Drosophila melanogaster: one gene and its partner. The protein of the gene in region 2 interacts with the protein of the main gene of each other region in a pairwise test. Each region holds a gene or a part of one and is shown on either strand. Other genes may lie near its edges.

What was found. Proteins that work in one complex are often made in the same cells at the same time.
Region 1: the proteins of CG4267 (region 2) and wbl interact in a two-hybrid assay, tested with the Drosophila melanogaster proteins (one large-scale study listed by BioGRID).

Annotation. Positions count from the first base shown.
Region 1 is NT_033778.4:19,245,086-19,253,031, forward strand, and holds wbl (windbeutel), read left to right. Parts: upstream 1-4,309; 5' UTR 4,310-4,739; coding exon 4,740-5,015; intron 5,016-5,219; coding exon 5,220-5,717; 3' UTR 5,718-5,832; downstream 5,833-7,946. Other genes in the region: CG33454 (uncharacterized protein), read right to left, coding at 5,942-6,088, 6,150-6,464, 6,522-6,581; CG33453 (uncharacterized protein), read right to left, coding at 7,460-7,606, 7,671-7,946. UniProt on the Drosophila melanogaster protein: Probable chaperone protein involved in dorsoventral axis patterning in early embryos. Probably acts by folding and targeting pipe (pip) into the Golgi.
Region 2 is NT_033779.5:2,238,697-2,248,226, reverse strand, and holds CG4267 (uncharacterized protein), read right to left. Parts: upstream 5,850-9,530; 5' UTR 5,706-5,849; coding exon 5,636-5,705; intron 5,535-5,635; coding exon 5,282-5,534; intron 4,668-5,281; coding exon 3,866-4,667; 3' UTR 2,953-3,865; downstream 1-2,952. Other genes in the region: Tengl1 (testis EndoG-Like 1), read left to right, coding at 7,725-7,886, 7,959-8,756; Tengl2 (testis EndoG-Like 2), read left to right, coding at 8,862-9,035, 9,099-9,530.

The DNA.
Region 1 (7,946 bases), on a different chromosome or scaffold from region 2:
TTCAACGTTCGCGGCTTTTTCTACACACGAAAAAAAAACGATATTCCTTTGGAATTTGTTACATGTAGCGAATTACTTCTTGGAAATGTCTTAGTAGAGTTTTGTTTGAAGTGTAGTTTTGACGAGCCCACTGCATATTGCATGTTGTTGTGGTCACTCGGAAAACTTGTGGCAAATTATTGCATCAACTTTGGCCCGCTGCTTTTAGTTTTTGTTGTTCTTCGCCGCAGGTACAAAGTAATGGAATATCTGAGTACGGCCAGCGCATTAACCCTCCGATGCATCGATCCGTACCGTAATAATCCCCAGCTGACATCCGCATCGAAATCAGTGCAAAAAATCAACTGCATGCCCTGCAATTTCAGGTATTTGCGACGCGACGTCGCCAATTAGATTTGATGACCATTTGCGTTCCGAATGCTCAAATGTTATAAAACAAAAGTCCAGTGGGGCGTTATCCTGCAAAGCGAAAAAGAATGTTAGGAAATGTCATGCGAATTGTGCGACGGTGCAGCCCCCAAAAGGCGGTGGCAATCCAATTCTGCCACATGAAACTGCAATTTGCATGTCTGTCTGCTCGTGTCCTCGGCTCCCGACCACCCATAGCCCAACCACTCGGTTAAGTAATTGCCTCCCAGCGCGGAAAATGGTCAAGCAACAAGTTGAGGTTGATTATTGGGAATATTCGCATGGGCGGTCGCTTTGTGTAAGTGCAGTTTACCCCTTTTACCTTTGGCTGTTATGCATTTGTTTGTAAACAAATGCCCTAACCCCGGATAGAGTGGGTGCAATGTGGCATCGCATTGGAAGTCCTTTCGCTCGGAGCGGGAACCACGCATGCGCCATTCAAATTTCCCGCCACAACTGTTATACATGAGTTTCCCCTGAGGAAAATCCTGAGGGAAATGGTCAGCGATTGGATGCACTAGAGCAATACCAGAATGATCCTTAGGTTTAAAAGAAAACGGAAGCCAGCTGGTCAAGCTAACAAAATGTTGAAAAGCGATACATTTATCTCAAATGAAATATTAGTCCACTGATGACCATAGCATAATATCATATTAAAATGGAAATGAAAAGTGGATAGTTATTAGCCAAGAAAAAAAGTACAGTTTCTCCTTGGCGACCCAATTAAATCCCCCAACTCGAAGCACCTAAATGACCAATACAACCAACTCACACCACTTAAGACACATTCATTTTTGGCTAATTAATAGGCCGTGTGCTAATGGAATTTTCCCCACGATAAGGCAAACCAACCAATAGTCAATCGCTCAAGAAATTACCATTAGGCCCATTGTCACTGGAATATGTTGAATGAAGGCAAACGAATTTATTTGATTTTGACCGCGGTTTCTTGGATAAATATTGAAAAAGCGTAATTAGCGCAGAACACATAATAATGCACTCGAGTGATTAATTAGCGAGGCCAACTCATACCAAAATCATTGACCATCTAAGCGCTTTTCAGCCACTAACGATTTGCTCTCAAATTCTCAGCACGCAGTTGGCATAAAAGTCGAAAAAAGAAATTTGCAATCAAATTGGAAGACCGCAGCGAATAAAAGCCACCGGCTAACTGACCATTTCGGTTTATTGGGTGCACAAATATTGAAAAGAAATTTGCGCTAAACGCCTCAAATTGCCAGGCCTGATAGCCACACGTATCGAAATGGCAATAAATGCAAATGAAAAGCTATAAACACGATAACCAGGCCTACGTCTGTCCACCCTTAACCCATAACCCTTAACCCTCTCTCTCTCTCTCTCTCATTCGAAAGCAAGGGTTATGGTTATGAACACCCGATGTGTGGGTTAACCAAAAGGCATTTTCAATAAATACCAATTATGATGAGCACAGCCTATTGACCATTTAACCGGGCATTCGACTTTGGCAGTTTCGATTTGGGCATGCGAATTATTGTCGAAGTTATTATTCCCATGTTTTCGTTTTGTGGGGTGGAACATATGGCCTTTTTTTCAGGTGGGTCATTCCATGGCCCATTTATGGAATTATGCCATGGCATAAAAATTTGATGAGCTTCAACTTCACAAGTGCCTGGATCCCAATGAAAAGTTTACAATAAACGAGACCGGGGAATTTCCATGATTCGAAATCGCGTGGGTTCTTACGCAAGTTGGGAACTCGCAGCCCCATCCCCTCCGCAGACCAAACTCCATCTATTTTCTATCCAAATTGTCAGTTGGCCAGTTGGCTCCAACATTGCATGTCTTGGCATACGTGGGCCATGAAAAATTCATGGCCCGCCTTCAATGTACTGCCACATAATTAGACTGTGGGGCTGCCAAAAAAATAAAGGTTGTCCTGAAAGCAGGATTGTTAATAGATACCCTGCGGCAAATGAGTGTCGGCAATAACTCGCACACTTAAATCTGAAAGGGAAAAAGTTTATAATATTTTAAAAACTTTTTTTAAAGAGTTCTGATAATTGTTAAATATTCAATCCTATTAAAAACATATATTTAATAAGTAAGATACATATACAATATGATGTGTTAAAAAAATGTATCATAAGATACAATACAATAATTGCTGTAATTACTATCACATGATCACAAGGCCAAATATACCCCTGACAGATCCCACTACACGGTATCCAAATGGAGCACCTGCCCTGCTGTAGGCGATTAGCTTTGTCTATTCGCCGTCGCTCCAAAACCCAATAGATGTGGTCTATAAAAAACAATGCCGCAATCGTTTGATTTCCGCACCAAGATTGCAGCCATTCCAGGTCCTGAAATTTGCGCGCTTATCACTATAATGTCGATTGGTCAGGGCAACCCCCTCAGCACCAAAAGCCCCCCGGGTGGGCCAAAGGGGGGTCGTTTCGCGTAAAGGTCATTGTGTTATTAGTGCCGCTGCACTTAAACTAACGCAAAAGTACCACCATTTATATTATTTATGCCGCATATGGGATATCCTTAGTTGGAGGACTCTTGAAGGTTCTTCGCCGGGTAATTCCCATAATTTGGCTAAATATAATCTAGATTTTTATTTTTAAAACCGAAGAAGGATTTACTTGGCGTCCAGTGGCAAAGTTTTCAATATAAAATGCCCGTCACGGCAACTAATTGAATGCTATGTTTTCCATGTTGTTTTGAAGGCCTTTCGACTGGGGTGTACTTAGCAAATTGCTTGTCCTTTGTTGCATAATAAATGGAATGTAAACACAAGTGCGCCATGAACCGAAAACACACCGAACTTGGACTCCATTTTTTTTTGCGCGGCCAGCAAAGAGGTCAGCATTACAAATGGAGCACCTCCCAACCATCCATCCAATCCGGTAATTTTGGGCCTTTGTGCGATTGACACACGCATGTCAGGCCCCATTACTGGATCTCCATCAGGCATTACCTCCTCCTTACCCTACATCGCCAGTTAATTCCATTGGAAATTGCGCATTGCCGTTTGGATTTTCCTTGCACCTGACGCACCAATCGAACGCCCAACCACCCATTTACCACCCCCCCCCCCCCACACACACACACACAAAAGACACACGCCCATCCATCAGAAAAGATAATTTACCGGTCGGCCATATCGATCGTGTGAAGCTCGCAACGCTTTTCCGTACCTCCTTCCCGAATTGCGTGCCGTGATGTTCAATTTTCCGTAGAGTGGACAAACGAAACCGCAAATGGAAAAACTAAACCAACTATTTTAGCCGCCAAAGGGGGCGGGGGGCGGGGCATTTGGCCATCGGCGGTCTTTTGGGTTTGAGGTGACCAACATGTGTGCCGCATACATGAATTATTAATTGACAATTGCCGAAAATGTCCATTAACCGGGACAAAAGGGAAGGAGCACGGAATTGGGGGTGGGATCGGGTGCCGGGAAAATTTCAATTCCAGGCTAATGAAAATTATGGCAAACTAACCCCGTTTTTCCGTCCACTGGCAGGTGTTTCCATTTTCCTTAGCAAACTTCTAAAGAGTCGATCGGCTACTATGTCAATTCATTGTATGTAGAGATACTTTAATGCATAGTTCATTTGTAAAGTTAAGTTACTAAAACGTATAAATAAGAAATCTTGTGATTGAAAGGAGTTGAATTTCATATATATACCTTTAAAGGGTATCCACAATTCGAAAGACCCGAAAACACTCATGTACAGTTGCAAATTACCACTTCCTGTGGACTTCGCTTGCACTGTCAGTTTTGTGAACATGGCTAATTGCTCTGGTTTAATGTGGCACGCTCTATTGGCCAACTGATCGTTTTTGGCCGAAATATATTTTCTATCAGCTTGGCATCAATGTTCATTCCCCAGCTATTGGGATGACAATTATTTCTACGTTTAAAAGCGACAGTCAAAAACGAGGCACACGCATTAAGTACCAGGCATTATATAATAAATCTCCCTACAAGTGTTACAATAGACCCACAGCCAAAACAGCTGAACTAACAACAAGAGTTGGTCAACGAAATAGCCGGTTTTGAGTGAGAGAGCCGCTTCTATTCACTGACGTGTCATTCAACTCGATCGAGAAATTGTGGAGACGAGAACTTCAGAGCATTTCAGACTACCAGAGAGTCCAGAACTGAGTGAGTTGGCCAAAGCAGCCAAACAATTTCAGCTGAGCGAAGCGTAAACTGGCCCAAAACTCGAACTCGAATACAACTTTACCGCTCTTCTCGCGCTCGTTTTTAGCCAGTTTGCGCTGACAAACGGCAAGAGTAGGGTCAAGTTCAGAAGTCTCTGGTTTTTGCCACGAAGATGATGCATATTTTGGTGACTCTGCTCCTGGTCGCTATCCACTCGATACCCACCACCTGGGCCGTCACCTGCACGGGCTGCGTGGATCTGGATGAGCTGAGTTTCGAGAAGACGGTGGAACGATTTCCCTACTCCGTAGTGAAATTTGATATCGCATATCCGTATGGGGAAAAGCATGAGGCCTTTACCGCCTTCTCCAAATCTGCCCACAAGGCAACTAAAGATCTGCTAATAGCCACCGTGGGTGTCAAGGACTATGGAGAACTGGAGAACAAGGTGAGTTTTATTTTATGGATTACCTAGGATTTAGATATGTGGTAATGATTGGAAAAAATGTGGTTTCTGCTCTGTTCATTTGGAATCCTGGATTGCAGCCTAAAGCTTGGATGCCCTTCTAAAGACTCTGTGCTATTTAAATTATTTAAAAGCACTTTAAATTTGATTTATTTATTATTTCAACTTTTTAATCCCAATTTGCAGGCCCTGGGCGACCGTTACAAAGTCGACGACAAGAACTTCCCGAGTATCTTCCTGTTCAAGGGCAACGCTGATGAGTACGTCCAGCTTCCTAGCCACGTCGACGTAACGCTGGACAATCTGAAGGCTTTTGTCAGTGCCAACACACCTCTGTACATCGGTCGTGATGGCTGCATCAAAGAGTTCAACGAAGTGCTCAAGAACTATGCCAATATCCCCGATGCAGAGCAACTGAAGCTTATCGAAAAGCTGCAGGCCAAGCAGGAGCAGCTGACCGATCCCGAGCAGCAGCAGAACGCCAGGGCCTATCTGATCTACATGCGGAAGATCCACGAGGTGGGCTACGATTTCCTGGAGGAGGAGACCAAGCGACTCCTGCGCCTCAAGGCCGGCAAGGTCACCGAGGCCAAGAAGGAGGAGCTGCTGAGGAAACTGAACATCCTGGAAGTCTTCAGGGTTCACAAGGTCACCAAGACAGCGCCGGAAAAGGAGGAACTGTGAACTTGTTAGATCTTTAAACAAAATTATGAATACTTTATGATATTTATAAATGTCGGATCTCGACAGAAACATGTGAATGTACAATTTATACGAATTATAAGTCTATCATCCAAATAAAGACAGTTTTTTATGTTGAAATGCCTTGTAGTAATTAAATCAAACTATTTTATTTCCACTCCTCATTGCCAGTTAACAAGTCAGTTAAACACAAATAAGCCTTCAATTTATAAGTCCTCTGGTACATGCATATTTACATTTACATAGAACTTCGTTTTACCATTAATTAGAAAGTCTAGGCGTGATAAATAATCTCCAGAGGGAAATGGAAGGGGTAGTGAAATGCGATGAAAATCGTTAAGTACCACCGTACCCTGCAAATCGACCAAAAAAGGATATATAATTGTATATTATTTTGATTAAAAACCTTACCACATACGGGCAAGAATGGTTGATGTTGGATGCATCCTTTATCATATTATAAACTATTTTAATGACGGGATTATTTGGTTTTCGCAAAAATTGGCAGGCATCGACGGTGATATCGAAAAGAAAAGGCTTGTAACCATTGGCCCTCTTCAGCATCTGAAATCTGACAGATATGCTATTGATTGGATGCAAAAAGGTTGCATTTATGTGCAAACTAGTCTTGGTCCTGGAATAGGCCTTCAATCGACAGTAATGAAAAACGGTCAACGATTTATCATATGATTCACAAACAACATTTGTCATTTTAACCATAGCCGAATCCTAAAGAAGTAAATATACTTTCTACATTTTATTAAAAACAATATCGGGCAATCTTACGCTGTAAACCAAAAAAACGACAGCCACAAAAACTCCCAGAATTATCACATTGGCCAGCATGTCCGACAAACACAAAAATCAATTTAAGACTGTAATATAAACTATGAACTAGGTGATGGTAGTTCAACACATAATTAAGATATACTTTTCATAAATATGTTTACCTCTTTAATTACACAAAATTGATATATTAGTCAGCACAAAACGATTCAGCGTGTTTAGGTATACCATTTAAAATAGAAACTTAATATAGTAATGCTTAAAAAACATTGAAATCAGATACAAAAAGTTACCTATTGCAAACTTTATGTTTTAACCCAGAAATGGCTGTCTTTGAAATAATCGATTTGTTTCATTGATTAATTTTGCTGTCTTCTGATTTGATCTGAGTGATATATTGTGGGTTGTCTTGTACTGAAGAGGTTATTAAAATTCAATTTCAGTGATGGTAGCACGATATCTGATGTATTTTTTAATTATACAAAATTGATTTGATATGCAACAATCATTACGGTGCTAGTTTTGCGTTCATTCGAATATATCTGCTACATATCTGCTCTGTTTTAGAATACCCTTAAATGATAAATAAACTGTCTAAAACCGAAGGTATATATTAGTGTTGAAGCACAAAAAATAGCTTCAAATGTAAGCAGATACTAATGAAGTTGTATATTAAGAAAAACGTTTCCAAAAGCTTGGGCAAATATGACTTAATGATGCAAGTGCGGTTAACTAATAATATAGGTAATAAATTGAAATTGTGTTTTCGTTGAGGGTCATATTTGCAAAAGCTGGTAGCTATGTATGAGCGAACTAGCGAAATCTATTAAATAATTATATTTTCAAGATATCTTAATCAAATAATTATGTTTTTCTTAAACTGTTTATTAGCTTCAATAAGTTCAATTAAGAACTATAATGTTCATAGAAACGGGTGGTCAAAAATCCTCCACAAAGTTAAAATAAATATTCACGTGAAACTGCTTCTTAGCATAGAAGATGAAATCTAGTAACACTCCATAGTCTCCTGAAGGTAATGGTACTGGAAATACAGCGGTGTGATAATCGCTAACCACTTGCAAGCCCTAAAAAAATGATTAAAGTTATTAAATTTGCTGATGGCCAATATGGCGTAACCTAACTTACCACATAAGGACATGTATGATTTAGTGTAGAATAATCCTTTATAAAGCTATAAAACATTTTTATGACGGGATTATGTCGTTTTCGCAGAAATTGGCAGGCGTCGATTGTGACATCGAAGAGAAATGGCTTATAGCCACTTAATCTTTTCACCATCTTTAATCTGAGGGATACATTATTCGTTGGATGCAGAAATGTTGCATTTATGTTCAAGCTGGTCTTGTTACGCGAGTAAGCCTTTAGCCGGCAATAATGAAAAACAGCCCAGGATTTGTTTATTGA
Region 2 (9,530 bases):
GCACTTGGCAAACGAAACCAAAGCCAAAATCTTTCGGTTGCCACTGAATTGAACTGAACTGAACTGAGATTGAGAACAATTTCTGGCAAGAAAACCGCACGACACACTCGACCTGTCACTCGACAAACACACACTGTTGCCCCCCTCCTCCAGCGTCTCAAGGATTCCCTCCCTTATGCAGGACCTCACTCGCAGGACTCGCATCTGACATGGCCATATATCGTATATTATGCATGCAATGCCAGGCAATGGCCAGAAGAATATTCAAAGCATTTAGCAACTCATTGTCCCTTTCGCCAGCAAAACAACTACGGCAAAGCACAAGACGATGGAGACGGGCAAAAATGTATTCATGGAGCCCCAAATTGTATAATTTAAGTTTGCACATAAAATCACACCGCAAACTTGGAAAAAGGCCCGAAAAGTAGGAGCCGCAGCAACAACAGCACTCAAGTGAACTGACATAGATACGGTCATGTGAATGGGGCTCCATGTGCCATACAATATATGTACATATATGTATAAGGCTGAGTTCCTTCCATTCTGGGATGGAGCCAGTGGTCTTGTATGAAAATCATTCTATATAATAGCTTAATATAATATTCAGCAAGGTTAGGAATAAATCCTTTATTAATTATTTTTAGAAATAAATTCAAAATTATACATTTTATAAGCTAGAAATTTTCACAAGACCTAGAAGTTAACATTCTAGATACCAGCGAGTTTCCCCAAGCGTTTTCCCACATTTCCTATGACCTTTTCCCGTGACTTGAAGATGGCCGTCTCTATTACACAGTTGAGCACACAGAAGTGCCGGATTTCCCAACCACTCCACCCGCACACACATCAAATTTGAATATTTTAAAGAGGAAAACGGACGCAGGACTCAGGACACGCCGACAGAGGGCACAAAGCACAAAACTTGTGTGCCATAAAAACGCTATAAAATTGCACAAATGGCATCGGCGACATGGAGATTCAGAGATATAGAGGGGGGTTATATCTGTAAGTAAAACTTTCGGCCCGATATCTGCTGACCTAAGTGCGTGTGCACATGAACTTAAGCGAGTGTTGTGTGTGGACTGGGTGTCCTGCAGGTCCTTGTGCTGCTCGGATTTCAAGCAATGTAAGTCATTGTCATCGCCTTCGTATCGGACTCATTTGCCAGGACATCTCGGCTGGCGTCCTTTTGCAGCCCTTTGCCATCCGCAAAATGAAACCTGATTTCGCTTTAATTTTTCCTCTCTGTCTCTTTGGCTTTTTTGGGTTTTCCGGGGTGACAATCTCAACACCCAACACATCGGCAAAGTTATGGCACTCCGAGGCTTTCACACGGTCCATTTCAGGGCGACAAATTGGTGTTCAGGCTGTCAACGCAAAAGGGTTTGTCCTCGAAGTGCTCAGCTCCTGAATTTTACGGTGAATTTTTGAGGCTCCAATGCGCATCCCTTGGACATCAGTTAGTTGGGGCTTCTTACTTACAATGAACTTGGGAGACATTCTGTGGGCCGCCTTAATTAGAATGCCATAATGGAACTGCCGGCTACCACACACTGGGCTCATAAATAATTTATGCGCCATGAAAACGAATGTGCAAATTTAAATAATCAAATTCAGGGGCAAATATTGTGCCCTCGGGGATTCACACACAATCATCAATCGAAAGAAACCACTTCGGGCCAAATCGAAATCGGGCTGCCAACTATTTGGGCAAAAGGTAAAAAGGATAAATGATTTTGCATAAAATTTAAGTGAATCCATTTTCCACCTGAGATTCAACCGAGCTGTCCTTTCGTCCGGAACCTCAAAGGATTTCTTCTTCCATTTGGCTTTGCCGTCAATCTGTCACTTTAGGATAACAATTACGATAAGTGAGTTTGGATATTTATTAAGCCAATCAACAGATTATGCCAAACTTTAATTGTCTCGGCTTGTCAACTTTGTGAGCTTGTCCGGAGATGTCTTTGTGTTTCGGAAATATGTGAGAAATTTAATACTTTTGGTATTGTGTTTCGTTTTCCGACTTTAGTAGGTAAGCTTTTGAAGGGATTGAATCTCTTTAAGTGAAAATATTTGCATATTTCCAGGTGCTTTTCATATGCATTCAAATTCCCTCCGAAACCGTAAGATATTTTAATAACCAGCTCTTGCGATCAAACTACCACCCAGGCATTCGAAAACTTTCGTAGTTAGACTGGATTAAATTAAGAGCGAAAACTTGTGAGTACAAATACCGTGTTTTTCCCCCGCCGCCCAACTTTCGACCCGAATGCACCGCCACAACTCTCTAACTGCTCCCCGGGCTAAACCTCAAACTCAGCACCCTCAACAACGACAACTTTAATTAAGTGAAAATTATGATGCTGTCAGGAAAAGAAGGAGACGGCAGGCATCAGCACATTGGGCGGGTGGGCATTTGCAGGCGAGTGGGTGGCCGCTGGTCACACGTGGCGTATGAATAATGTAGAATCTCAACTAATTAAGCCAAGTAAATGCATTAGCAACAACCCGTCGCAGCCTCTTGTCCAATATGTGCAATTTTGCACAGCTTTTCGGCGCTCCAAAAGCAGCAGCAACAATTTGGGTAACATATTGTTTGTTTTAATTAAAAATTCTTTTCCAAATATGCAGCGAATCAGGGCGAAAAACAGTGTGCAGAAGGCAGTCTAAAGTATCCTGTAACTAAAACGTTTCATCAAGATTTGGCGTCGAAAATTGGCATCTCTGCTCACCTTTTAAGTCCTGGCCCAGAGATCAATATCTGGAATATCCATTTCGGGTTTGGTGACCAATGCCATAACCAATGGAGCTTGAGGCACCGGCAATGCTCCTGTAGAAGCCAAAAGACTAAAAACGGCAAGACCCAGTATGAATGACAGCTTCATTTTGTTTACTTTACTAAATTTTCAAGCCTCTTCAAAAAGATTTGTATTCCGATCTGACATAAAGTTTAATGGTAACGCGATGAATCAATAATATAAGTAACTATCGTAGTAGTCGTATTCCGAATCATCATAGTAGTACGATCCTTCCTCTGATTCCTCACTTGATTCGGAGCTCTCATCTTCGGAGGAATCTTCAGATGACTCATCTTCGGTGGAATCTTCAGATGACTCATCTTCGGTGGAATCTTCAGATGTCACGTCACTTTCCGTGGTGGTGGTTGTTTCGGTGAATGCCTTAGAAGTCTCAGATGCTTCACTAGTTTCCGCCGACGAAGATGAAGGTACTGTGGTCACCTCAAATACCTTTTCGCTGGAGCTTTCAGTCAATGGTGATAGTTGCTGGCTGGAACTTTCAGGTGCTTCACTAGTTTCCTCAGATGATGATGATGATGGTGAAGTTAGTGTGGGCACGTCAGAAGTCACAGTGGATGGTTCACTGGTTGCCTCTGTGGACATTGATGACTTGGAAGCAACACTTTCTTTGGTCAAAACATTGGACAATCGAAATCCAACTTGATTTTGGGAAATTTGCGAGTTTATTTTAGGTCTGGCAGCTGCGAAGGCCAGGAAAGCTATAAAGTAAAAGCAAACACGTTGAGCGCGGAACATTTTCGGTTGAATATTGTGGAAAGAGTGGATAAGCCTTCCGTGCCTCGTGAGGTTTATATACCTATCTTGAAGTTTAGGTTACTAATAGTTATTCCCAGCTGACTTACACACTCGCTAGATGGTTTTTCTTTGTGAATAGTTCGCCATAAAACTTAATTGGCTCACGTTGTTGCGAGATAAGAAGTAACTTAAAAAAATGTTTCTAGAAATAGGTGTACTATTTATAATAAATTCTCTATAAAAGAAAAATAACCAATTATAAATACCAAACTTCTATTTCATCAACAAATGTACACATATTAACTAATATCCTACTCTTCCGTGGAGTTCTCAATATCATCTTCCCGTGGAGGCGGTTCCGTTTGCCACCTGTGGCCCATGGCATAGGGTGGCTTTGAGTAGGTTTTCACATAGAAAGTTCCGTTCTTGGGGATTGAGGGCTCCCCGCCCATCCGGAACTCTCCATCGCTCATTAGGAGCAGCCAGGTGCCATCATCGTGACGCTCGCAGCGCGGTCCCCAAAATCCCGCCGGACTCGTCAGCGACTCTATGAAGTAGTCATGGGATCTCTTATGAGAACAGCCATAGACATAGCATTTCTTCTGATTCTTCCCATAGTTGGGATAGAAGGTGGCGTGTCCCACGGGCTGCTCGAAGCCAAAGCTAACGCTGGTTTGAATGGACTCCACATAGGAGGCGTCACTAGCATCGATTCGGTACTCGTCGCTCTTCTCCCGGAACTGTGGACCCGCCGGATCCAGAGCGTATATGGTGTTGAATCGATATGGCATTATCTGCTTGCCAGCACTGCCGGCGATCTGCGCTCCCAGAGAGTGTCCAATGACGTATACGTCGTCGTAGTGCATGTTCGCCTCCTGGTTCAGATAGCGCACCAGTTCCGCCAGCAGGGCTCCCATGTCCTCCACCGTCTTGGCCACCTCGTAGTAGTTTACGTTCGTGGAAGTCTTGCTCCAGTCACATACGATCACATTGAAGTCCTCGTAGGGGGCGGGCTCTCCGTTGGGTCCCGGATCGGTCAGGCTGAGGTATGCGTTCTTAACCTTCCTTATATGCGAACCTTTGCTCTGACTCATCCAGCCATGAATGACTATCCTAAAAATAAGCAGTCAGGAAAGTCAATATAATATATCAATGTATACTAAACTAATAGCAATTCCCTTTAAAATAAACATATTTCAATTCATTTATGTATATATGATATCAACTTCGCCTGATATCTTATCTTTTAATGCAAAATTGGTGTATTGCTTGGCGTATTTGGTGTAAATTTGTGCAATTACTATCTGTTAGCTATTATAATGAATTAACTTGTAATTAGCAATAAATCAATTGTCAGGCCAATGGCAATGACTCAATGGCGATAATTCAAACGAAAGCTCAACCAAAAAATGTAAATATATAAAGCAGAGAAACCTGTTTTCGTGTTAGTCGCGAAATATAAAAAATAAATTATTTGGTGAGAGAATCTAGCAAATATTTGTTTTGGTTCTATTCATTAGATTGGTGCTTTGCTCTCACATTAATTTCTGGGGCTTAGTGGTAGTATGAATACTAAATACACTGTCAATTGTTGCGAGCTGAAAGGTTTGTACAGCTTTTAGCCATTATCTCACCGTTCAGTGTAATGAATTGATTGTGGCACACTCACTTCGCTGCAAAGTTCCCCATTCGATCGGGGCTTTAATCTTCCCGGAAATCCCCCTTACCTTGTTTGATGACGTGCATCGAAGCCCGAGTTCCTCAGGTTTTCCACATCGCCCACGAACAGTTCCCTTCCGCAGTCCGCGAAGTCCCGCTTGAAGAGTATGAACTGCATTTTGCCCCTCGAACTCGTGAAGGGTATGAGGTGCTTGAAGAACTTCTTCCAGAACGAGGGATCCACCCCCAAGGTCTTCTTCTTCACCAGCGTGTAGTTGCAGGTGGCATTGGGATCGAGTTCGGTTTTCTCCGAGCTGCTGGCTAGTTAAAGACGATATAGCAAGCAAACCAAAAATATATCAATCAAATGAATTTCTACACAGATCTGTGATAAGACCTTGAAATGTGTGAATATTACCCACCAAATACGATGGCCGCAAATGCCAAAAGCACCGCACTCATGATGCTAATCCGTCCCAGCTGCGAGATCATGGCTGTTCCAAGATATCTCCCTCGGGGCTTCTGACCGATCGAGTGTAGTGCGTCCGATGACCGATCTCCACCGTTATAAATTTCGAACGCCGGCGGAATAAGCCGCAGATCTGACCGGTCGACTGGTGCGTGCGCAACCAACTGACACAGCTCTCCGCCAATCTCTCGATGGTCGAGCGTTGCGAGCTCCACTTTCCGAATCGGAGCGGAGAGCGCGGCGACCCCAAGTCTACGCTCAGTGGGTTACTCACTCCAGTGATAACTGATCATCGCAGCTCGCTCACTCTCTCTCTCTCTCTCTCTCTCTCCTCATAGATCATTATACTTCCTTATAGAGAGTATCGATTAGGTTAGCAGGCTGATGATCTTGAAAATTAGAGGTATAAAGAAATATAAAGTGCTGTTATCTGTTTAAAACAACAAAAACTCATGAAAATTATAAGTGTATTATGCAGTTTTAAGTAAATATCCTTAAAAAACCGACAAATTGTTATGATTATACAAAACCATAAGCCCTTCTGGCGCTAATTGGCACGCATAAAAGGTTAACCGATCCATCCTTTCTTAACCCAGATAAGTTAATTACCCCATTAAGTTGACCTGCTGTAAAATACAGAAAAAGGCAGCGTAATGAGTATGGTTTTCCGAATCCTGGGGCCACGTTTTTATGGCTGTCAGTCAGCGCGAATGCTTATCGCAGATCCCGAAAATGCTCAGACCTATCGGCTAATTGCGTGGTCCTAATCACATTCGAAACCCGCTTAATTAAGCATCCCCGAGTGCATAATTCATTAATCCAAACTCAAATGAGGCGACAAATTTTCAGTCACTTAGCGAGTCAGTTTTTCGGCTGGCAAAGAAAATGGAAAATTGGGGCGGGTGGGTTTTCTTGTGGCCTTTCTTGCCTTCCACCTGCGCCACATGAAAACGTTTTAATTATGCAAATTTGGGCTGCTGCCTTGTTGATTAGAAAATCCGCGAGGGGCAAAGCGAGTTACTTGAGCCCTCGACAAGGTATGCAGTTCACCTCAGATTGGCACAAGGACCTCCAGGCATCAATCAATACGCAAACAGATCCTGGGGGGGCAGGGCAAACAGCCCATCCACCACGAGACCAATAAATTTGGCCAACCACCAATTAGATGTTGGAAATTAATTGGCAATGCCTCGCGACCAACTGAAATGGATGAAGGATGTGGTGCAGAATTCCTGCGGCTGAGGGTGAAATTTGAATTCGGTTCCTGGAAAAGGAAAATTCAGAGACTTGGTCACAGTTTTCCATTCCGAACAAATTTACTGCACTTTGAATCCCTTGTCATGTGTCGGAAAAAGTTTTTGCCCAGCTTGGAATGAGCTTAACTTAAAGACTGTTTCGCAGAGATTTAAGTGAAAGGGTTTTGCCTTTTGCCTATATCGGAAAATTCAATAACTTCATTGGAATATGGTTTAAATTTAAATAGTTTTGGCAACAACAATTCAACATCCCACCTCCCTTGCTCGTCCACTTTTTCATCACTCTACCGATCAAAGTTTCGGAGCGGAGGGTGAAAAGTTTTCTGGCCAAAACGGAAAAACTGTAAATCCACAACTAACATTTTTAAGCATAACAAAGTACGACGAGATTCCGAGAATAAATCTTGACGCCGCTTTTGGTTTAGTCAGGCGTAGCCCCAAAAAGCGCTTATTATGCGGTTCAAGGGGGCAGCAAATGGGGGAATGGGGGATGTTTTGTCCTGGGGACTTTTAGTTTTTAGCTCTACAACGATGACTGCAACTTTTTCTATTGACTTAATGCAGTTGGCAAGTGCAGTCGGGTCTGAACTTGGACACGGAAACTTTAAAGATTAACTGCAGGAAAGTCAGGTTTTTGGGGGAAGTACTTTCAAATTTAAGGCACAACCAAGTTAGTTTCTACACACAACTCATAGCTTTTACTTGCAGCACAATAAACAAGTTACCGATTTCGAATTTGTTTCTAATTTATAAGACAAAATTGCTAGGATTTGATATAAAGGATCGATGGAAGCGCCGGTGAAGGGCATTATTGGTATTCTGGCCACTGCTGGATCGTTTTTTGCACTAGGAGCTTACTATCAGCACATCGATGTCATGCGAAAGATTCGACGATTGGAGCAACGAAACCCACATGCCTACTTTATCAGAAGGAAACTGTACGCACTGGTAAGGAAATAGATTAAGGATTCAGATAATATATATATTAGCGAACTCTACTCCCTTTAAACATATCTATAGCTGGGAATTTTCGCTGTGCGCCCTGATAACTCAGAATTCGACGTGGATACCGATGACTGCCACAAGCTGGGCGGGATCATGAAGTACGGCTTCCCCAGCACCAATGATATCACCATAAATGAGACCTTTGACTTTGTGACCTCTTTCGATCGAAGAAACTCTGCGATTCTGTGGATGTGCGAGCGGGTAGATCTGTCCAATCGCGTCGTCTACGGGGATTCCACATCCGTGGCTCCAGCTGGAGCATTTGGACAGTCGGAGGCAGCCAGGGTATTTTTCCTGTCCAACATTAGGCCCTTTCTAAACAGAGGGTTCAATCTCACTGTCTGGGATCGACTGCTGCAGTACGTCCATGAGATGAGTCAACGACATGGAACCGTGTATGCCTACACCGGATCAATTTACTTGCCCCGGGAGCTAAAGTCGAACAGTTGGTTCCTGGAGTTCCAGTCGGAGGAGAGAACCATGGTGGCCGTACCCACCCATTTCTTCAAGATCCTGGTCATTGATAAGAAGTTCGCGGGCGATACCATTCCCTATGCGGAGGCCTATGTGATGCCCAACTCTCCGCTGAACAACAATGTCGAACTGAAGACGCTTCTCAGCGATGTCCGGGAAATAGAAAACGCTACTGGTCTACGGTTCTTTGAAGGACTCGACCGCAACTTTGTCAACACCCAAGCATCAAATTCATTTGTCCCCTCAGTAAACGGTCCTTTAACAAATCCGTTAACGTTGCCGATGACTAATGCCTTAGACAGTCACAGTGCCCTCACATCAAGTATTTCTCCAAAATAGAATATAAATACATATATGTTGAAGGAGACAATGATGGCCATGAGAAATCCTTCAGATAAACAATGTTTTATTTGCTTTTGAGGGGTAATTCACAGAGCCCATTTCATGGACCGAAAATGGCAGCTCCTGGGACTGGGTTTCGTCCTGGGAGTGACTGCGCTCTGTGCATCCTTCGTGGGTGGAATGTATTTTCAGCACACAGATGCCAGAAAACGCCTGCGGGAACTAATACAAACGGATCCCTATGCCTACTATCTCAGTCCCAAAATTTATGAAGTGGTAACCAATACTGTAGTAAAAGAATATAAGTAACACTTGCACCAAAATAATTTCCCTAACCAGTTTACTTTCTTTGAGAGCAATAATGAAGACGATCACCGGATGAGGCAGATCATGAAGTTTGGGTTCCCTGGCCTGGATGACTTGCGTCTGTATAGTGACTTCGTACTATCCTACGATCGCCGAAACCGAGTGGCCCACTGGGTGTGCGAGCACCTCCAGGCGGACAGCATACATCCGAATCGAGGCAGACGTGGTCGCAACCCATACCAGCCGGATTTGAGTGTTCCCTCCAACTTCCGATCGGAACTGAGCGACTATCGGAGATCTGGATTCGACCGAGGACACTTGGCAGCCGCAGGAAATCACCATCTGCAACAGAATCACTGCGAGGATACGTTTTTCCTAACGAATATTGCCCCACAAGTGGGCCAGGGCTTCAACCGAAGCGCGTGGAACAACTTGGAACAATATGTTCGAAATCTGGTCCACCGA